Linked DNA regions of Macaca mulatta. The protein of the gene in region 2 interacts with the protein of the main gene of each other region in a pairwise test. Links are inferred from orthologs where the notes say so. Each region holds a gene or a part of one and is shown on either strand. Other genes may lie near its edges.

Region 1 (7,645 bases), on a different chromosome or scaffold from region 2:
TGTCTAAAATCACAAGCACAGAGCAGCAAGATGCGCCTCAGAGCTTCACGCTGCAGTATCCTAACAGGTTGGAACTGTGACACTGGATCTGATCTTGTTAACAAGAATAAGACAGGAAGCTGCACTACAATCAAGCATTTAGAGAAGCAGGATTCAGATAAAAGGCAAATCACAGTTGATGCAGTGGTAGCCATGTGTACTGACTATAGCAAAAGAAAACAGACAAAATACAATAAGTAGCTCCTCACAAAAAGAAAAAAACCCAAAGACAAAAGTCTTCATTTCAATTAAGCACTACAAAATATAAACAGTAACAAACTACTTAAAATTGTGAATGTGGGAGGATTGGTTTAGTAGAGTTATAACCATTTTTTTTGAATATCATCTATTAATAATTAATTCATTAAAGTTCATCTCAGATTGCTTATTTGGTTACCACTAATCAATCAACAATTATGCATTAAGAACTCAGGGTTTGCTTTAGAAAGGTTGGGGGAATAAAACTGCTTCACATGCTGAGCATCCAATAATTTCAGATATTTAAAAAAAATTTAAGTTTCCTCTTAATCCATCTGCAAACAGCAATAGTTAATTAATAAGCAATACAGTTGTGTAACGACAAATCACTCAAAAATCCAGGTGTATCAGGTGTATCTCCCTAGCAAGAACAAGTTGCTTCACATCTCTTCCCCTAAAATCATTTCCCTGTAAAACAGAATTAATAATAGTGTCTTCCTGATAAGATTGTTTTGAGCATTAAAGCTCTGATGCATGTGTCTGGTATATGATTGTCAATACGCTAAAATTTCAGAGCCTTTGTAATGTATGCAACAAAAGTTAATAAATAATAAATCAGCTTATTAACTAAATTCCTGCTAAACTGACAAATTATTTGAGTCAATTATGTTCATATAACAGCCTCATTTTGCCACTTTCTCAGTAAAATTTATTAGCACTAAGTATTGCCTCATCTTCAGGAGGAGGAAATAAAAGGCATCCAAATAGGAAGAGAGGAAGTCAAATTATCCCTGTTGGCAGACAAGTTGTTTCTTTATCTAGAAAACCCCATAGTCTCTGCCCAAAAGCTCCTTGATCTGATAAACAACTTCAGCAAAGTTGTAGGATACAAAATCAATGTATAAAAATGAGTAGCATTCCCATAAACCAACAACATCCAAGCAGACAGCCAAATCAGGAGTGCATTCCCATTCACAATTGCCACAAAAAGAATAAAATACTTAGGAATAACAGTTAAGCAGGGAGGTGAAAGCTCTCTAAAATGAGAATGACAAAACATCCCTCAAAGAAATCGTGGATGACACGTAACAAATTGAAAAACTTTCCATGCTCATGGATAGGAAGAATCCATAACATTAAAATGGCCATACTGTTCAATGCAAGTTATACATTCCATGTTATTCCTTGTCAAACTACCAATGACATTCTTCACAGAATTAGAAAAAAAAAAAACTACTTAAAAATTCATATGAAATAAAAAAAGAGCTTGAACGGCCAATAGCCAATACAATCTTAAGCAAAAGTAACAAAGCTGGAGGCATCACATTACCTGACTTCAAACTATAGTACAAGGCTACAGTAAACAAAACAAGGTACTGGTACAAAAAAAGACACACAGACCAATGGAACAGAATAGAGAGCCTAGAAATAATGCAGCACACCTATAACTATTTGATCTCCAACAAAGCTGACAATAACAAGCAATGAGGAAAGGACTCCCTGTTCAATAAATGGTGCCAGGATAACTGGCTAGCTATACACAGAAGATTGAAACTGAACCCCTTCTTTACACCATATACAAAAATCAACTCAAGACGGATTAAAGGCTTAAGTGTAAAACCCCAAACTATAAAACCCCTGAAAGGTAACATAGGAAATACCATTCTTGACACAGGACCTGGCAAAGATTTCATGACAAACATGCCAAAAGCAATCGCAACAAAAATAAAAATGGAAAAATGGTATCTAATTAAACTAAAGAGCTTCTACACAGCAAAAGAAACTATCAACGGAATAAACAGCCTACAGAATGGGAGAAAATATTTACAAACTATGTATTCCACAAAGGTCTAATATCTAGAATCTGTAAGAAACTTAAATTTATGAGCAAAAAACAACCCTATTACAAAGTGGGTGAAGGACATAAACAGATGCTTTTCAAAGAAAGATACACAAGTGGCCAATAAGTATATGAAAAATGTCCATTATCACTAATATTAGAGAAATGCAAATCAAAACCACCAGATACCATCTCACGCCAGTTAAAATGTCTATTATTAAAAACTCAGAAAATAATGAATGTTGGTAAGGTTGCAAAGAAATAGAAACAATTATACACTGCTGGTGGGAGTGCAAATTAATTCAACCGTTGTGGAAAACAGTGTGGCAATTCCTCAAAGACCTAAAAACAGAAATCATTTGACCCAGTAATCCCATTACTGGGTATTTACCCAAGGAATATAAATCGTTCTACCATAAAGACACACATGTGTATATTCACTGCAGCACTATTCACAACAGCAAAAACATGGAATCAACCTAAGTGTCCATCAATGGTAGCCTGGATAAAGAAAATGTGGTATATATACACTGTGGAATACTATGCAGACATAAAAAAGAATGAGATCACGTCCTTTGCAGCAACATAGATTGAGCTGGAGGCCATTATCTGAAGCAAACTAATACAGAAACAGGAAACCACATACCACATGTTCTCACTTGTAAGTGGGGGCTAAATGATGAGACCTCATGGACACAAAGAGGGAAACAGCAGATGTTAGGGCCTATTTGAGGGTGGTTGGTGGGAGGGGGGAGAGGATCAGAAAAAAATACCTATTGGGTATTGTGCTTATTACCTGGGTGATGAAATAATCTCTACACCAAACCCCAATGGTATAAAGTTTACCTATATAAAAACCTGCACATGTACCCCTGAACCTAAAATGTAAGTTAAAAAAATATATCACCTCATCCTCACCAGGGAAAAGAGGAAAAAGTCATTTTATTCTTTAGGTGGGTTCAATGACAGGTTTGTATCTTCAATGTACATTTGATGCTGTCACTTTTTCTCTACATCTATAATTTACCAAATTCATTAATTCACAGTCATGTTGAAATTCTGAACAACGACATTGAAGTAAGATTTATAACTTTAATATCTTTTTCATGTACCAACAGCGGAGCCCACGCATCTGATCATCCTTTACTCTAGAACTTAAGAGGATTATGCAAAAAACTTTTATGAAAGCACACTTCATAAACAAAGTTTCCTTTCTACTTCAACCAAAATATTGTACAGCTTATGAGAAAACTTGCAATAATAAATTGTAAAATGTTTTACAGACACTAATATTTGTAAATCTTTATGAGAACAATTTTTAGGTGATTGATAACGTTTGTTATTCTTGATAGTTGCAACAACAACAAACACTCAGGAGGCATTTGCTTATGTGCCAGATATTCCCCTCTTTGAGGTAAGTGCCGTTTTAAAGATGAGGAAATTGAGGTACAGTGATATAACCAGGCAATCTGACTTTAGGGTCCAACTTCTTATCCACTATTCTAAACATGGATGTTGTAGCCTTTATAAACATTACATTAATCAAATACAGCATATCTATACTCTAGTAAAATGTTCCAAACCCTAAGCCAAAATCTCTGTTTTAAAATTTTTACAACTTTTTGGCCATGGAAACACAAACAAACAAAAAAATACACTTGGAGAATTAGAATGTATTACATAAAGACACCAACTAGTCATTCCTACCTCAAGTCTGTCTGTTCGCATTAATTTCTGTGCAGCAGCTGCAGCAGCTGCAGGTACAGGGACACCCGGATTCCCTGTAACCAACATTGGTGCAGTCGGCAAGATCTCTGCTGGGACCAGGCTTGGAGAAACAGGTCCCAGATAGGGATTAAAGGCTGCTGATGCATTGGTGGCTAAGCTTGGTGCAACTGAAAACATTGGCTGAAAAATAAAATAAAAGCAAAATTTAACAAGCAGGTCTCAGCTCAAAGTTGATTATTCTTAATTATACATTTGTCCTCCATCCATCTATCAACTCTTCCTTCCTTCCCTTCTTCCCTTTAATCCTGTGTTCATTTACCATTTGTCCTCCATCCATCTATCCATTCTTCCTCCCTTGCCTTCTTCCCTTTAATCCTGTGTTCATTTACTATCATTTAGGGTAAGGCTGTTTTATTAAATAAGCACTCATCAAATCAATGTTTTTCTAAAATATAACAGGTAAAATATCCATTAAATTATTCACTGGAATTTTGAACCTGGGGGGTCTATAATACTTGTAATTTTTTTTTTTTTTTTTGAAAAATAGATAAACTAGGCAGAAACTCCTTGTGGTCACCTAATCTTCATCTTTGCCCTGACTTAATTCTAGATATTTGTCTAAGAAATACATTTTGTAATTGCTATGTCAGATGTACTTGAAAGACCTGTTTACCACTGTTAATAGGTTGCAAGTGTCCTATGATCCGGAATAAATACAGTAGAACTCCCAGGGGATAAAAGAGTTTCACAGTCAATGTAAGCTGTAAATAAATCTCATGGGTTTGGGAAAGGTGATGATGACACCTTGTCTTCTGAGCACATAAGATAAAGTGTTTGGTATACTTACTTGATGGTGATTTTTCTGGGGGAAATTATAAATGTTCCACTAGTCTATCATACCTTACTAAGGGAAAACACGTCTAAAATGTGAAGTCTGAAGTAGAACTGCTACTAAGGAAATGCTACATGATTAGTCAAGGAAATACATATGGCAGAACTGAATAAACTGCTACAAGACAGAATTTCTTCCAGAAATGCTTTCATGGATACACAAGGATTGTTTCTATTTGTTGATATGCAAACTTGCATATCATAAAATATATTTGTTCTTGAATAGCATTAATTTACCTGAAATCTAACGATTTGTTTTTCTAGTGTTTAAAGTATAACAGAACACAAACAATTTCATATCTTATGGATAGTACATTTTTAACTTCCTAACAGACTCTCAATTCTAGTTCTCGAAGTTTAATGCTTCATGTAATAATGCTTGTTTCTGAAAAACAAAAGCTTGTAGGCAAAACGGATGCTGTTCTTTAAGGTAATTTTTTTTTTTTTTTTTTTTTTTGAGACGGAGCCTTGCTCTGTTGCCCCAGCTAGAGTGCAGTGGTGCAATCTTGGCTCACTGCAAGCTCCACCTCCCGGGTTCATGCCATTCTCCTGCCTCAGCCTCCCTAGTAGCTGGGACTACCCGCCACCATGCCTGGCTAATTTTTTGTATTTTTAGTAGAGACGGGGTTTCATCATGTTAGCCAGGATGGTCTCAATCTCCTGACCTCATGATCCGCCCACTTCGGCCTCCCAAAGTGCTGAGATTACAGGCCTGAGCCACCGAGCCCAGCCTCTTTAAGGTAATATTTAACAATTTATTTTCTTTACTCAGTAGTAATGAACAGAATTACAGAACATTTTTTAGAATAAAAGAGACATTATAATGTATTAATAACTAATTCTGCCATCTGATAGGAATAAGAAGTTACATGGTCCCTGAATATATGTAGCATTCAAGAGAGCTTTGTAGCAAAACTTTTTGCAATATAAGGCATACATTACAAATGTAATTCTTATAGTACAAAAGAAATACGTTAAAAAGTAAAACATATCCTTTATTCACTCTGGCCCTGACTGATTCTATATTTAGAAAAATAAAATGAATTTCAAGTGTTCCCTTTTTCTTAGGGCAGTGGTTTTCAACCGAGTTGTTTTGCCTCTCAGGAGACACCTGGCAATGTCTAAAGACATTTTTGGTTATCACAGCTGGAGGGGAACTATTGCATATAACGGATGGAAGCCAGGGATGCTGCTAAGTGTTCTACAACATATAAGACAGCCCCTCGCAACAAAGAATTATCCAGCCCCGAAAGTCAATACTGTCAATGTTAAGAAGGCCTTTCTTAGGGAACTCTTCTGTTGACCTCAAAACTTGCTTGGGAAGCACTCTTTGCATTTAGCTATACATTTTTACTAACAAAAATATGAAAAACCAAAATATGCAATACCTAATGTGATTCACTGAGAAGAAACAATACAATATAGATTATACCATTTCAACTTAAAATTATTATGCCTCTGAACACGTTGGTTTGAATGCCATGTTTAGCTACTCTGCCAGGTCGATGGCTCTTGCCTGATGAAGTGGTCTCAAGTAGCACCTCTAATCCCCAACCCCTCCCAGCACAAAGCAGCAACCTGCAGACAACAAGAACTATCTGTGCATTCCAGATTTTAACAATCAACAAGCTGTCAGAAACTAGGGCCCAGGGCAGTCTCTGTCCACCAACACTTCCCGGAGCCACAGCTGACTTAATGCTGCGCCACTGTCCATTCTCTGTCCAGGTGGCAGCAGGACAAGGATTGATTGTATAGTGAATATATGTTGAACTTGGATTTCTATTCAAGGATATTCAGGTTAAACTTGTACTTTGTTATACATTGTCAGATTGCATATGAAAATCCAGCCAGACCAGCACCCTAATTTCTATATTAGTCATTTAAGAATTACAAGAAATTTAGCATAGAAGACTAAAAGAGTCTATGTCAGGGGACTAACAGACTAGTTCAGCAAATGGACAACAGAAGCTACTCATTATCATTCCTCTTTGCATTCTTTTACTATGAATAAACATGTATTTCCAGATAGTGCATTTTTAATGTATACTTCAGAAAGTTACTGAGATGTTTATGTTACTGTACATAATCTACTATAATTATTTAAAAGCAAAGGACAAATTTAAAAATGTTTTTGGAAGAAAAAGCATTTTTATTTTAATAAAATGCGACCAGAGGCTAATAAAACTCAGCTCTCTTAAATCTCATCAAATAAAATACACTGGAAATCTAAAAATGCATATAATGCAGCTGTTGCACACTACAGGCAGAATCATACTTTTATTATGTAAAAATACTGCTTTAATAACTGGCAATAATCTTTCCTGAGTTGTTTCTATAGAGTCAGCAAGAGAATTGATCTTTTGCTTTAATTCAGCAGAGCAAATTCAAATCTGTACAATTTTAGGGCACTGTCCCCAAGTAAAGTCTGTAGGAGCTTTTAAAAATGTGAAACATCAACTATTCAGCAAGCATTATCTCAAATTGTTCCCTCTTTCGATAAGCAGAGCTATTTGCTGAATAGGCAGACAATCAATAACTAGCTTTATACTTTGAAACTTGATTCCAAAAGACAGACAGACAGACACACACACACACACACACACACACACACACGCAACATTCCTTCATTTATTTTAAATTTTTGTAAGTTTGTTACATCACTTTAGTCATACTGTTTTTTCAAAGAGTGCCATGTTGAAGATAGGTCACTGCTAGCCCCATCAGAGAGTGCCCTAATCAGATTAGGAAAGCACTTGACCTGCACTACTGCCAGTTTTCTATTCCAAAAGCTATCCTGCAGGAGGTTCAGCAGAATCTCAAAGACAGGTATTAATGCAATGTTGTTATCAAGTGGCATCCTGTTCTCTCTCTGAAGGATAACATATAACTATGTAATTGGTATATTTGATACTGACTATATTCTTGTGATAATGATTTGTAGGTATCTCT
Region 2 (7,645 bases):
GGCTCCCTGTGTCCAGTGCCACCACTGTCCTGCTGCTGGTGTGTCCTTTCGCTCATGCACAAGATCATGTGGCCAGACAGCCTTAACTCACCGGCCAAGGAGAGCCGGGCTGCAGGGACCCCCTAGGAAAAGTGAGTGGGACCTGCAAGCTCCTAAGCATGATACCCAATTACCCTGTGCTACCTTTTTTTCTTTTGAATATTGTACTTTGGTCTGGAGCAGATGGCATGAAGCCAGAGAGACATGCTAATAGCTCTCTCCAGAAAAGTGTGCACAGCCCATCTGTTAGCTCCTTGTGGAAAAAAAAAAACAAAAGATGGGAGGGGAAAAAAACCTGCCACCAACAGTAGAATCATCAGAGATCACAGCATTTATGCATTGTGGGTTTAATTAGACACCGGGAAAAATGCAGTGAGCGTATTGACTAGGACTTGTTCATCTTTATGTAGGGCCTTTCTCCCGTCCCAAACCATGCTAGGCAGAGTGGAGAGAGAGAGAGAATAAAGAGTTCCTGCCAACAGGTGGTTTCTAGTCTCATCAGGGAAGATAGAATAACCAGGCAATTACAATGCAGTGTGACAAATGTCATGATACAGGTGAGCACAGAGGACTGTGCAAGCCCAGAGAAGGACCAGTGGAGCTGACAGGAGCAAGAAGCCATCCAGCAGAGGTGATAGTGAGCCGAGTCTCCAAGAGCAAATCAGGGTTAGACATGCACAGAAGCAGCGGGATGGCTTTCCAGGCAGATGGGCCAGCAGAGACAAGAGACAGCACGTTGGGTTTTGTTTGCAACTGCTGAAGGGCAAGGTGCAGTGAGGATATGAATTGAAGATAGTGATGAAGAGGTGGAAGGGGCTGACCTCCAAGGACGCATAGCCAAGCTAAGACATGTGAGCCTTATACTAAAGACAGTGAAGTACCATATATGCATTTTAAAACAGTCGTTCCTGGCAACGAGGAGGGTGGAATAAAAGCAAAGCCAAAAATAGGCTTGATGTCAAGAGAGTGAAAACATCCCCTCATTCACCAAAATGGGCAGCAGGTCTTGGGTGATTGAATCCGTGGGTACTTCTCCACCTGCAGACCCAGCACCCCCTTCTTACTACAAATATTTACAATACCTCCTTTCATACCTTGAAATGAATTTCATAGATAAGGTAGTCTAGCTACACAATTTTTCAAAATGAATATAATTCTCTAATATAAGGCAGAAAGGAAAGAGAATTTGTAAGAAAAATGTATGTATTTAAATAAGGAAATACTCAGGCATGAGCACACTAGAAGGCATAACAGTCAGATGTATACACCTATAAGTAGAATCACTATCGAAAGCCACAGCTATAAGTCCAGACTGATACAGAAGTGTCATGTGGCTATACCACCATGAGAAGCGTTTCTGTCAGGGATGTCAGGGACTGCCATTTTCCAAAATAGTCAACACCTTTTGACAGTGTTCCAAACCAAAAATACAGTCTTCCCTCCCGTGCACAGTTGTTGAATTCCTGGAAAATTAAATGCATTAAAATCAAGTGCAAAGATAACTTTGAATTCCCGTGTAATTCAAAGTCGATTCTGGGTGCAAATGATCATAAACAGGATGTGGAATAATGCTTTGTCATACGCATTGGTCTCACACATAGTGAGATGTCTACTGTCAATGCTTGGGTCTCCTAAATGCCAGTAGTGTAACCCCCTCCACTTGTGACAACCAAAACACGTCCCACCAATTTTCTAGCCACCCCTAGGGGGCAGTAGTACTCCCACTGAGAACCACTGGGACATATCAAAGTAAATCGGAAAACAAGACTGAGTTGCAGGATTCTTCATCTGTTGGTAGATTTAAGTCACTACATTATCATGCCATGGGTGAGGCAAGCTAAGCAAGCTTCACGTTTGAAGTTTCAGCTCCAGGGCCTCTTCATCCCTCTTGCTTCAGTGCAGTTGGACAAAGTAGTCTTATAAGATATTCTCCATTTTTTTTGTTGACATCCTTGTCTCATTCCGCAGAAGTATTTAACACTGCGAGATTAATCAGCAAGAAGCACAGGTGTCCTATTGGTGCCTTTCTGGAGCCTGCTGTTAGGGAAGCATGGCATGAGAGGAAACGGGCACCTTGCAAGGAAAATCACCAGGCCTTGAATGTTGGCTCTAGCCTGTATCAGTCAGTTGAAGGCAGGTATATCTGTGACTGGAGTATGGAGTGAGACACCCTGCGTTCCATCTCTCTGGGCTCACAAGAGTCAGTGAGATGACTCATAATGTCATCAATGCCATAACGCCCACCCATTGTCCCTTTGGAAGTTGCTAGGATACTCTGCCTCCATTCCTCTTTTTTTCCTGGTCTCATTACACTGCATCGGTATCTTCCTACTGACAGCCATGGAAAGGCTTGTTTTGAGAGGCCCAGGCAAAGCTGGCTTCTCTATTCTCTGCTCTGCCCAGCCTGGGAACTTGTCTCTCAGGCTCAACTGCACATAGAGGTGGCCATTGTGCCCCCTGAGAAGGGTGGGGACCCCTGGAAGCACATGTGAATTTCCTGCAGGCCTGCAGTATCCAAATACAATCAAATAGTAGGCAAGGTCTATTAACTGCAAAGATCGGAAATTGGTCTTGGCCATCTGGGTGAGGCAGTGTGTGGCACAAAGGAAGGAACCCTGGCTTTGGGGGAACAGACAACCTCAGTTTGATCCTGCTCCTACCTCATGCAACCTGTATGACCCTGAGCAAGTTGCTTTTCCTTGAGCACCAATTTCTTCATCCCTAAAATAGAGATAACAATACCTACCCTGCCGGAATTTCGTGAAGACGCAAAACACATACTAGTGTATCTGGCATGTTGTAGGCATTTAATAAGTGGAGCTTGTTGCTGTTACTGCTATGTTACTATTATTATTGTAACACGTGTCACTTGTGCTCCTGTTAAAATGTATATGTCTTACCTAAAAAGAATAATACAGTGAACAATTATCATGGTAATACACATGAGTACAGGCTATGGGGTTTTGCAGTGTGTAACTTATACTGATGTATGAGGTGCCCCTGAGTGGACAATAACCTTCTTTTTTTTTTTTTTTTTTTTTTGAGACAAGTGTCTCACTCTGTTACCCAAGCTGGAGTGCAGTGGTATAATCACAGCTCAGTGCTGCTTCAAACTTTTGGGCTCAAGTGATCCTCCCGCCTCAGCCTCCTGAGTGCTGAGACAATGGGACTCTGAGCATGTGCCACCATTCCTCACTACTTTTTAAAAATTTTTGGTAGAGATGAGGCCTTGCTGTGTTACTAAGTCTGATCTCAAACTCTGAGCCTCAAGCAATCCTCCCACCTGGACCTCCCAAAGTGTTAGGATTACAAGCATAAGCCACCACATCTGGCCCTATTTTTTTAATTCTCCAAAATTGGAATAATAATAATACAGAAATCATGCATAATACCTCTAGCTGCCATTTATTACATGTCTTTTGTATATCAAGCAATGTAATAAGTAACTCTCTAGCCTCTATCTAATCCAAACCATACTAGTAACTAACATTTACTGAATGTTGATCCTGTGTCCGGTACAATACTCCACATTTTAAATATGTACTCTCAATTAATCTTCAAATCAACCTAGCAAGGTAGAAGGTGTTTATACCCATTTTACAAATAAGGTCATAGAGCCTTAGAGAGATTTAAGAACTACTCCCCAAATTACACAGTTAAGAGGTGGCTGTTTGAATTTTAACCTAGGTCTCTAAAACTCCAACATTCAGATTATTACTCACTTTGCACACTGCCTCAGGCCTGCGAAGGACGGTATTATAACCTGGTTTTACAACAAAGAGTCAGACTCTTAAAGAGCTTACGCAATTGAGAGGGTCCTAAGTGCAGCAGGAAGAGGAGGCAAGGAGAAAACCCAGGACGGCCTGCCTTCCGTCCTTCTGCCCTGTCCCTGAGACACACAGCTTCTGAGGCTATGAGACTTTAGAAACTTCTAACAACTACAGAAATGTGATTATTAGCATTCTAGTTTTTGCTTACAGATCATCTCCTCAGAGAGGCTTTCCCTGACCACTTCTCTAGGATATAGGCTCCAAGACAGCAAGGACTTTTGTCTTGTTCATCTTGGCATCCCCAGTCCCTGGCACACAGTCTGGCACTTAGTTGGTGCTTGATACATTTCTGTCAATTACCTGAGTCCATGCATCCTTCTTTCTCAGGACACCTGACTCTTCTTTTTCATTCTCCCAGGTTACGTTGCAATGGGCGCTGTCCTCCCGTCCTTCTGGGGCCAGCAGCCCCTCGTCCAACAGCAGATGGTCATGGGTGCCCAGCCACCAGTCGCTCAGGTGATGCCGGGGGCTCAGCCCATCGCATGGGGCCAGCCGGGTCTCTTCCCTGCCACTCAGCAGCCCTGGCCAACTGTGGCCGGGCAGTTTCCGCCAGCCGCCTTCATGCCCACACAAACTGTTATGCCTTTGCCAGCTGCCATGTTCCAAGGTCCCCTCACCCCCCTTGCCACCGTCCCAGGCACGAGTGACTCCACCAGGTCAAGTCCACAGACCGACAAGCCCAGGCAGAAAATGGGGAAAGAAACATTTAAGGATTTCCAGATGGCCCAGCCTCCACCCGTGCCCTCCCGCAAACCCGACCAGCCCTCCCTCACCTGTACCTCAGAGGCCTTCTCCAGTTACTTCAACAAAGTCGGGGTGGCACAGGATACAGACGACTGTGATGACTTTGACATCTCCCAGTTGAATTTGACCCCTGTGACTTCTACCACACCATCGACCAACTCACGTGAGTGCCCCTCACTTAAGACATAAAACCCAATGAGAGCCATAACTTATGTCTGGAGGTAGGGTTTCAGGGGTCAGATAACTCATCTCGCTTGCATTAATCAGGCTTCTTTGTTTATATTACTATTACTACTATTGCTACTATTACTACTACTATTACTACTAAGAGCTACAAATATAGGTACCACTGATAACATACAAACCTTCTTCATATGTTCCATGTTTATTTTTAGACTTATAATAATGCTTAATGACAAATTTTGTTAGACCTGTTTGATGGATAATGAAAGTGAGGCTCAAGGTTGAAGACAATAGACAAAGTGGTATTGAACTGAACGTAAGCCTAGTATTTTTCCACCGTATTACTCTGCTTCTTAAGATTTTGTTAGTTTACTCATGCATTCGTTCATTTATTTATGTATAGCCAGCTTATGACACATAGATTTTGGTGTGGTTTCTTGAAATAAAAGTGAATGCAAACTTTAAAAATTTGGGGAACAAGTTTTAAACATTAGAATATAAAATAAGGATCAAGAGAAAACTTAGGGCAGAGACACAGCAGCCGTAAGGTCTTAAATAGCTTTTATAGCTGAAGCCTCATTTTGGCTTAAAGCTTCTGGTAGTTAAAGAGAACAAAAAGATGGTGCTGCAGAAAGTACTGGACTGGAAACCTGGAGATCAGATTTATTAGTGACCAGTTTTGTACCTTTGGGCAAGGCACTTTATTTCTATGAGCCTCGGTTTCCTCATCTGTATGAGGGATGGGTTATTAAAAGGATTCAATGGTATATATACTCAAACATTATAGACCTCCCAGAATTTGAAGTATCTTTTATCCTCAGTATTAACACATGTTAAGTGGTTTTGTGCAGTGCTGGACCCCAGTTCTAGTGTTGACTCCTCTACCACAAGCTGTGTCTTTGGGCAAGCGTGTGACTTCTCTGAGACTCAGTTTTATCATTGGTAAAATAAGTGAATTGACTTGGATGAGCAGTGTGCATCCATCTAGTTCCAGCTTTCAGTGAGTCTCCTCCAGCCCACATTTTTTCTGCAAACATCTGGAAAACAGTGACTGTGCAGCCAAATCAGAATCCAGATACACTTGAGCATGTGTACGCTTGTTTGACATAATTCAGGGAGGGTGTTCTGGTGACTCAGCCTGTGCCTTGACACCTGATAAGAGGAAAGAAAAGGTTCATGCTACAGTGAGTTTGGTGGTTTCATTACTGTCACAGGTGATATGGATCACTGCATGGCCAGTACTGTGAACTGTCAAAAAAACCCCACAATGTTAATACAATTAGATTGTGTCATTTCAGCCAGGTTCAGAATGCTATTCTGAAAATGAATGCCCTCGGTGTGTATAAACAACCCACTTGCACTCAGGCCATATGATCTACATAGTGGCGGCATCTCTATTTACACAGACTCACAGGGTTTCAATGAGGAATAATGAATAAAAAACGAAATGTTAAAGAAATGACAGCCATGCATAAATAAGCAAGCATCTTTTTAAAAACAGACATCTCTCTTTCAATGGACTTATGTGCCAGCTACAAATGAAAGAGGAGAGTTTAAGTTCTTTGAGGGCAGGAACTGTCTCCATTACTCCTATACTTCTCATAATGCTAGCTTAGTGCCTGGCACATGAGAGGCATTTGGGAAAGGTTATAGAGAATGAAATAAACTAAATGGAGATCACTTAGCTACTGTTGTGTTTTAGAGCATTGTTGGCAACCTTGGCACTATTGATATGTTGAACCAGATAATTCTTTGTTTCAGAGGCTGTCCCATTATAGGATGTTTAGCAGCCCTGGCCTCTAATCACTCTATGAGAGAAACATATATCCCCTTCCTCTAGTGTCGAGAAAAATGACTCCAAGCATTGCCAAATGTACCCTAGGGATGAAATTGCCCCAGACTGAGAACCACTGCTTTAGAGTATTAGAAGCATCCTATGAAGCCTTCTAAAAATTAAGACACCTACGTAAATAAACTCCTGTTTATGCTTTCCATTTATTTCATTAGGTAAGTCTGAGCAGTAATCCTGCCAGAACTGGCAACTCAGCGTGTGTTCTCAACCTTTCGTAAGCAAAAATCCACTTCAAATACAATTCAGGATCTAATTAAACTAATATTTATTAAACATCTACTACCCTTCAGGGTGTTTGCATATAGCTTTAAACCCACTTTCAATATAGTTTGTTCCATAGTCATCTCCTGAAACAACACAGATTTCATTGCAAATTTTTTTTTCAAAAACTTACTGTTTTATTTTGAATGAAATTGGAAAAACCAGTCATTATCTCCTCTGACCCATCAGTATCCCCTTAAGAATGTTTTGGGTAGAGGATTGGTTGGATCAAAAGGGAACCTCCAATAAAAACAGAAAAGCACAGTTGGACTGGATACTGTCAGACAGAGCTCTGTTAAATGCCAGTGCTGCTATTTGATAGCTGTGTTAACCCTCAGCAAGTCAAGTCACCTCACCTCTCTGAGCTGCAATTTCTCCATCTGGGAAACAAAAAAGTTACAGTAACAGCTTGCAGGTATTTGTATTAGGGTGTATAATGGATGGGAAGTGCCTAGCACAGTGTCCAACTCATTGGCACATTATAAATAATAAATGAGGAAATAGCATCATTTTTCTAACTATACAGTTATCAGAGTAAAAAGTATGCACTAAGTTTTACAATCATCATTCACTGTCTGATTCTAAGTTCTATGACATTATGAAAATTCAGCTACTAAATCAAGGCGTGCCACCCACTCACTTGGGTCTTATCCAGTGACTGGTGTTTTCAGTGACAAATTAGAAATTATTAAAAGAAGAGTGGTATCAAATGATGTATTTGTTCTACACCTCTGAA
Region 3 (7,645 bases), on a different chromosome or scaffold from region 2:
AAACAAGACAGTGATCTGGAAAACACAAAAATGATTTAGACCCAGAACATATCATGCAGTCTGTGGTCTTGGGGTGGCCTAGTAGGGTGAACCTCCCATCCCCTCCTCAGCACCCCTGTCCCCATCAGGGAGCTCCCTGTCTGCTCCTCCCTGGTCCTCCGGAGGAACTTACCGCTTATAGGGGTCATAGGTGGGGCTGTCTCGGCGGGCATAGCTAGAGAGAAGAATGGGGTGGGACAAGTTGGGGCTTAAGATCTCAGTGGGCATGAATTTGGGATAAGTCCCCCAACCTAAGGACCCAAAGCTAGGCACCTGGCACAGTGAGGGGGTTGCTGACCAGGTTGGGGGCCTTCCCTTGATTCCTCCACCCACCCCCACCTCAGATCTGTCCAAAGCATGAACTTAGGCCCCACCCCACAATGTCCTAGACCCATGACGACTCTGAGGAACTTGGACTTCAGCAACCCTGGTTCTGCTTGGCCTCCTGACCCTAGAATGAAAGCATCCCTCCTCCCAATCCTCGTCTCTGGCTCTCACTGGGTCTGGGTTTACCAATGATGATGATGATAAGACAAAAACAGGCTGGGTGCGGTGGCTCACACCTGTAATCCCAGCACTTTGAGAGGCTGAAGTGGGAGGATCACTTGAACCCAGGAGTTTGAGACCAGCCTGGGCAACACAGCAAGACCCCATCTCTACAAAGCATATTTTATTTTAATTAGCTGGGAGTGGTGATGCATGCCAGTAATCTCAGCTACTAAGGAGACTGAGGTAGGAGGCTCGCCTGAGCCTAGGAATTTGAGGCTGCAGTAAGTCGTGATTGCACCACTGCACTCCAGCCTGGGTGACGGAACAAGACCCTGTCTCTGGAAAAAAAAAAGAAGAGAAAGACTATCACAGCTGAGGAAACTGAAGCCCAGAGAGGTGAAGTCACTTGTCCAGCATCATGCAGCTCATAAAGGAGGAAACGGGGATCCACACCCAGGCCCTATAGCCACCCAGCCTGGGCTTTCCTGCACTACCCTCTATGTGCCTCTGTGCCACCACTGACAGCAGTGACAACTGGTGCTATTCTTTAAGGAATATTTCGCACACCAACCCCTGAACCTACAAGTCGTTTAAGCCTTACAGGAACTCTCAATCACTCTCCTTTAAGAGATGTGGCAAAAAGAGGCATGGGTTTGCACCGGGCCTCTCCTCAAGGCCTCCTGACCCAGGCTGGGCTCTCTGCTCCAAGCCAGACTGCCTCATCCAAACCTGTCCCAAGACCTCCCTGTGGGGACTGCCCCAGCCCTCTCTCATGGTAGGTGATAATGCTTCATTTTCCAAAGGAAGAAACTGAAGCTCAGAGGGTTCAGGTAGTCACTTGTCCAAACTCCAACACAGGAAACAGCCAAGCAGCAGAACTGAGTGAGAGTCCAGGGCAAAGCCTGTGCCCTCTATTCCTCCGCCGCCCTGGTGACAGCCTAATGCCGCCTGTGCATGGGCTCCTGGGAGTCTGGCAAGGGCCCCCAGTCCAGCAGGGTGAGGGGAGCGGCTGGCAAGGAAAGGAGTCCACATGGCCCTCAAGGCCGTTCCTACCTCTAAACCTTCACGCAGGCCATGCATCGCCCCACTAGAAAGACTCTTTCCTCAAGTCAAATGCCTGCCTCCAAAGAGCCTTCTCAGGCCCTAAGCCCCCGCTCCCCTCCCCCAGATGCCAGCAGGGTGGGGGTTCAGGGAGAAGCCCTACCTGGGTGGGCTGATCTTGCGACCCCTCAGCCGCTTCTCCCGAAACTCTCTCCGCTGGCGTCGAGAGCGGCGTCCCTGGAGTAGGGTGGGTGCCAGACTGGTGACGGGGTGCCCTCCCTGTGACACAACCCTGTCGCCTTCCACTCTAGCCCAGACCTCACCGAGTACATGGCCTTCTCCTCCTCAAGGGCCTTGGCGTGCTTGATGGCCTCTGCCTCCTCCTTATCTTTCCGGAGCATCCTATAGAGGGGGGTGAGAATTAGGGTGGAGGAGGGGGCACGCCACAGGACATGGAGGACACAGGCTGAGTCATCAGAGAAAGTGAGGGACCCGAGTCACCCCACACCAGCCTGAGGTGTCTTTCATTCAGTGCCACTTATTAAGCACCCTCTGTGTGCCAGGTCCTATCTTAGGCATCAAGAACTCAGCACTAAAAAAACCAGAAATCCTCACCTGCACGGGCTTACATTCTAGGGGAGAAGACAATGAGCAAGGGAATAAAACGCATGGTCCATTAGATGTTAGAGCAAAGGCAGAGGAAGCTGCATTTTTCAAGAGGAAGCTCAGGGAAGCGACACAGAACAGGGTATCTAGAGAGAAACCTGGGGGAGCAAGCTGCAGACGCCCGAAGCGAACAGCAGACAGACTGGCCCAGGTGCTGGGCCAGGCCTCTGCACTTGAGGAGCAAGGAGGCCATGGAGGCTGGGCAGGGGGTATGGGGGCAGTCAAGAGGACCAGATGGGTAAGACCTTTCAGCCATGGTGAGGACACTGGATGTGCCTGAGGGAGGTGGGAGCCACAAAGGGCTCTGGGCAGAGGGTGCCGTGCTCAGGCTCTGCTTTGGGTTCACTGCCCAGTGAGCTGGGACCATTCTGTGTGGTCTTATGAGCTCAGCAGGGGGTATGGCTCAGGGTAGAGGTACAACCAGCAACTGCCAGAATAAATGACCAGGGAATGAGGCCTCTCCACTAGAGGGTGCTGTCCCCCAGCCTAGGAATCCCCTGAGCTTCAAAGAGTCAGATTCGCCCCAGGTCACACTAAGTAGGGCAGGCTGGGTGATTTGGGTGCAGCCTGTTCCTGCACAGATGAAGTGGGGCCACGACCACCATAGGCTCAGGGACCTGCATGTGTAAAGTCCTGGGCCCAGGGTCAGGCACACAAATGCTCACAAACAGGATGGCTGTCAGTATGGGGAGTAACAGTGAGATGCCAGGGTGGGGCCCACAGAATGGGGAGGAGTGTCAGCAGGCAGGCCTCACCTGACAAAGTCGCCGTCGGCCATGCCATAAGTCGTGGCCTGTTTGTTGAGATCTGCCACCTGCTCCTGGTTCAGTTCATCCACGTCCACCTCCACGTCTGCACCAAGAGAAAGGCTGTCAGGAGCCACCGCCGAGCGAGAGGACAGGGGAGAAGGGGCAGTGCTCCAGGAGGTGGGGGTGATAGGGCGCCTGCCAGACTGAAGCACTCTTCAGGAAGGGATGGCATCAAGTATGGCTCATCTTGGCATCCCCTAGGCTCGCACTGGGCTTGGCCAGAGGTGAGCGCAACACACGGTGGACAGAGGCAGCTGGGGGACGGGGCTTGGAAGGGGCAGATGAACGGAGGGAGGGAAAGAAGAAGGGAGAGATGGATGAATGGGTGGAGGGACGGATGAAGGGATGCAGGGAGGGCTGGAGGGCAGGAGGGATGGAGGGATGAATGGAATAGAGGCAGGGAAGGAAGGTGGATGGAGGGAGGGAGGAATGGATGAGACGTGTGGCGGGGTTGACGTGGGAGGGAGGACTGAATAGGGTCAGACAGATGGCGGCTGAAGATCATGGTGGGTGGCAGGCAGGGTACGGGTCACAGGTGTTTGGAAGCAGGGCGTGTGATGAGCCAGCGGAAGGAGGGCTGGGCGGAGGTCAATGTGTGGCAAAGTGTGAATAAAGAGCCGGCTGCTGTCTGAGCGCAGTGGCTCATGCCTGTAATCCCAGCACTTTGGGTGGCCGAGGCAAGTGGATCATGAGGTCAGGAGTTCAAGACCAGCCTGACCAATGTAGCGAAACCCTGTCTCTGCTAAAAGTACAAAAATTAGCTGGGCATGGTGGCACGTGCCTGTAGTCCCAACTACTTGGGAAGCTGAGGCAGGAGAATCGCTTGAACCCAGGAGGTGGAGGTCACAGTGAGCCAAGAACACACCACTGCATTCCAGCCGGGGTGACAGAGCAGAACTCCATCCCAAAAAAATAAATAATACATAAAAAAATAAAAAGAGCCGGCTGCTGGAGTGAGAGCCAGGATGAGTAAAGCGGAGAGACTCGGGGGTGGTTTGACCAGTGGGAATCCAGAGGGGAGGTGAATGGCAGAGAGGGGGAGGGTGAACAGATGCCTGGAGGATGGGGGCTGGCTCTGTAAGAGGATGAACACTTGTTTTCCAGAGGAGGGAAGAGAGCAGGAGAGAGGGGCAGAGGCACAGAGAGGCCGGCCCAAGTGGACAAGAATGGAGCCAACACCTAGGAGGGGAAAAGATCGTAGAAACAGCACCCTAGAAACGAGAGATGAGTGAGACAGGGGTGGCAGGAGGCTGGCATGCCCTGGGGCGGGGGAGGGAGAGCGACACAGCTCGTAAGCACGGGGTGCCCCACAGAGGGTGAGGGACGAGACACAGAAACGATGCCCAGGGACTGTGGGTGGGGAGGGCAGAGAGGGGACCCCACCGATGTCGGGGATGACCTCATCTTCATCCGAGTTGCTCTCCTCCTCGGCTGCTGACTCCTCCTCCTCTGGCTTTTCTGCCGCCTTCTCCACCTCAGCCACCGTGCTGTCCTCGTAGGTATAACCGATGGAAGCCTTCTTCTCTGCCAGCCTGGAAAGGGGAGCCGCTGAGCCAGGGCCGCGCCTGGCGGAGAGGAGGGCCCCAGGCTGGCCCCACACACCAGCTTCTCGAGTGCCACGGCCCCCTCCCCTCAGGCTGTCCCTCGGCCTAGGTCCCTCTGCTCCTGCCCACACCCAGCTCCTCCCTCTTCCTCCACATCTCAGCTCCAGGGCCCCACCTGCCAAGAAGTCCTTGACTGGCACCTATGGTGGGTCGGCACTGTCCTGAGCTCCCCAGCCCTGCCTTCCTTGGGTCATCTCTGTTGGGGAAGGTCTGTCTCCCGCCAGACCGTAAGTCCCACGAGGGCACAGCCCAGAGTCCTCCTGAGCAGTCAGGTGCCCCAGCTTTGCTCTGAACAGAGCAGTGCCTGAGGGGCCTGAGCAGGACCCTGAGGCTGGGGCTGTGGACGAGGGCTGAAGTCTCCAAGAAGCATCCAGGACAGTCCCATGGGACCCCTCCCAGTGGAGGAAGGCGGCAAGCAGTCAGGGGGAGCAGGAGGGAAGGTGTCACTGAGAGAGCCGCCCAGTCCCGAGCCAGGGCTCCAGTCTACCGTGCACCAGGGCAACAGCAGCTGGCCTGGAGGAGAGCTAAGCCCTGCAGAGGGAACGGCATGTGTGAGGGTAGGGGCCTGTGCTCATCAGACTGAGGTGGAGAAGAGAGAAGTGAGACTGCCTGCTGCTCCTCAGAGGCAGCTGCTCCAGGATAAGGCTCAGGTCTCCCCAGCCACTCCTTGAGGGATGCAGCTTTGAGAAGCCTCTCTCCAGAGTGACATCAGTGAGGGCTGATTGCAAGCTCACTACACGGCAGGTGCTAGGACAGGTACTTCACAAGCTCTGTCTCCTGCATGCCTCCCAACTCCAGGCAGCGGGGCCTCCTGCCAGCCCCATTTTACAGGGAAGCACAGCAAGGCTCAGAGAATTCCCACTCAGGGTCTCACAGCCAGGACTCAAACCCAGAGCTGTCTGACCACAGGGACTGCACCTCCCACCACTCCCCAAGCTGAAAATGCAACGCAGAGCCGTCGGCAAGCCCTGGTACCCTGACAGGGCTTCTTCCTCTACACAGTTATTAAGTGAGCACTGACTGTGTGCTGAACACCATCCTTGGTTCTGGGGAGACCCTGGTGGACAGGATGGAAGAGGCCATGCCTGCCTGGGGCTCCCAGCCCTCCTGCCTCCTCAACCCCCTGCACCCCAGACCCCAACTCACTTCTTCTTCTCATCTTCACTGGGTCTCTGGAGGCCTCCGTACAACTCGTCAATGTAGATCTGGTACAGGCACTGCTCCTCTGAGACTGCAGCAAACAAGAGACTCCAGGTCAGAGTGGGTTGGGGACACTAGGAATTCAGTGGGAGAACATCAGAGTGCGGTGAAGCAGGAAGACAGGTGCAACCCCAGTGCACCTTGGGGCAATCGCCACTTCCAGATAATCAAACTGTGTCTGGTGGGACACAAGCAACTGCAGCAGAGCCTTGGACACACCACTCACTGGACACACGACCTTGGTCAAGTGACAGCACATCTGTGCCTCGGTTTCCTTTTCTGTAAAATGGGACCACAGGCAGAGTGAGTGCCTAGCCTGGTACTTGGACACTCTACTACCATTCTAACTGTTTCTGGAGGCCTCTGGCTGGACCCTTCAGAACCAAAACCTGCTCCTGAGCGCCACACGCCACTGACTGCACAGGTCACTCCACTGCAAGCCTCTTCGTGACTCATTTTAACACCCAGCTTAGAGGACTCAACAATGTACCAGAGCCTTCCTGATCTTCCCTGCAGTGAGACATGTGTGCCTGACTTGCTGTGGGACCGTGGGTGGTGAGTCCCCTTCCTTCCTTCCCTCCCTGGGCCTCAGTTTTGTCGGTATTTTTTTTGAGATGGAGTTTCGTTCTTGTAGCCCAGGCTGGAGTGCAATGGTGCGATCTTGCTCACCGCAACCTCTGCCTTCCGGGTTCAAGCGATTCTCCTGTCTGAGCCTCCCAAGTAGCTGGGATTACAGGTATGTGCCACCACACCCAGCTAATTTTGTATTTTTAGTATAGATAGGGTTTCTCCATGTTGGTCAGGCTGGTCTCGAACTCCCAACCTCAGGTGATCCACCACCTCGACCTCCCAAAAGTGCTGGAATTAGAGGTATGAGTCACTGTGCCCGGCTGGCCTGAGTTTTTCTATCTGGAACAAGAGGTGGGTGGGCTGGCGGGCCAGAAGGGGATGTAGCACGGCCCTTCCTTGCTCTAGCAGATACTCCATTTCTACTTGTTGTCTCCAAAGCCCAGGAGGGGCCCCGCTGACCCTGCCTTGCACAAGCTCCCTCGCTCTCCCTGCTCCGGTCACACGGGCCTTCTCTTTGCCCCTCCAGTGTGCCCATAGTCCTGGCTGACACAGGGTTTTGCACAGGCTGCTCTTGGCCTGGAATCCTGTGGCCTACCTGTGCCTCCTAGGGAGCCTCTATCCATACATCACTGACCCCAGCCTTGGTCCAGGACTTCTGTCCTATTTTTCTCAGAGAATGGTGCACTGTCTGTCACATTATCTTGGTTTGCAACTGGCGTCACTGACATGAGTATAGAGCTGCTGCCCTCTCCCCTACCATGCCACTGATCCCAGAGTAGCACCTGCCACACCGCATGTGCTCAATGACTGTTTGTGGAAGTGAATGAATAAATGCAGAGTGAGGCAAAACTAAGGAAACCCTGGCTCTACCACCAGGAATCTATGTGGCCTGGAATGATGGCAAAAACAGTATCCATTATACCGCATGTCCCTGATTCTAAGGCCTCGGTGATCACTAGAATTTTGGCAGCCTCTGATTTTAGAAAATCAAAAAAGCATCTATCTTAGAAATAAACAAATACCAGACCAGCAGACCCACATAGAGGGCTGACTGTGCCAGGTTCAGTGCTGGGGTTTTATACATATCACCTCACTCAACTCTCACAACCACCCCATGCGACAAAATCACCACCACCACGCTTCTCGAAGAGGAAACTGAGATCCACCAGGTAGTAAGGCACAAACCCAGCAGAGAACTCCATCCTTCCCTTAACTCCACAGGGAACC

What was found. The genes of interacting proteins can lie anywhere in the genome.
Region 1: the proteins of DAB1 (region 2) and MBNL1 interact in binary tests that used the Homo sapiens proteins (3 or more experiments, as listed by UniProt). The link is inferred for Macaca mulatta from reciprocal best matches to the Homo sapiens genes DAB1 and MBNL1.
Region 3: the proteins of DAB1 (region 2) and CLASRP interact in a two-hybrid assay, tested with the Homo sapiens proteins (2 studies listed by BioGRID and IntAct). The link is inferred for Macaca mulatta from reciprocal best matches to the Homo sapiens genes DAB1 and CLASRP.

Annotation. Positions count from the first base shown.
Region 1 is NC_133407.1:55,586,470-55,594,114, reverse strand, and holds part of MBNL1 (muscleblind-like protein 1), read right to left. Parts: intron 3,986-7,645; coding exon 3,785-3,985; intron 1-3,784. UniProt on the Homo sapiens protein: Mediates pre-mRNA alternative splicing regulation. Acts either as activator or repressor of splicing on specific pre-mRNA targets. Inhibits cardiac troponin-T (TNNT2) pre-mRNA exon inclusion but induces insulin receptor (IR) pre-mRNA exon inclusion in muscle.
Region 2 is NC_133406.1:183,609,848-183,617,492, forward strand, and holds part of DAB1 (disabled homolog 1), read left to right. Parts: intron 1-4,227; coding exon 4,228-4,776; intron 4,777-7,645. UniProt on the Homo sapiens protein: Signaling adapter of the reelin-mediated signaling pathway, which regulates the migration and differentiation of postmitotic neurons during brain development.
Region 3 is NC_133424.1:57,569,605-57,577,249, reverse strand, and holds part of CLASRP (CLK4-associating serine/arginine rich protein), read right to left. Parts: exon of another isoform or gene 7,541-7,645; intron 5,880-7,540; coding exon 5,795-5,879; intron 4,577-5,794; coding exon 4,428-4,576; intron 3,088-4,427; coding exon 2,991-3,087; intron 1,972-2,990; coding exon 1,893-1,971; intron 1,807-1,892; coding exon 1,733-1,806; intron 215-1,732; coding exon 173-214; intron 1-172. UniProt on the Homo sapiens protein: Probably functions as an alternative splicing regulator. May regulate the mRNA splicing of genes such as CLK1. May act by regulating members of the CLK kinase family.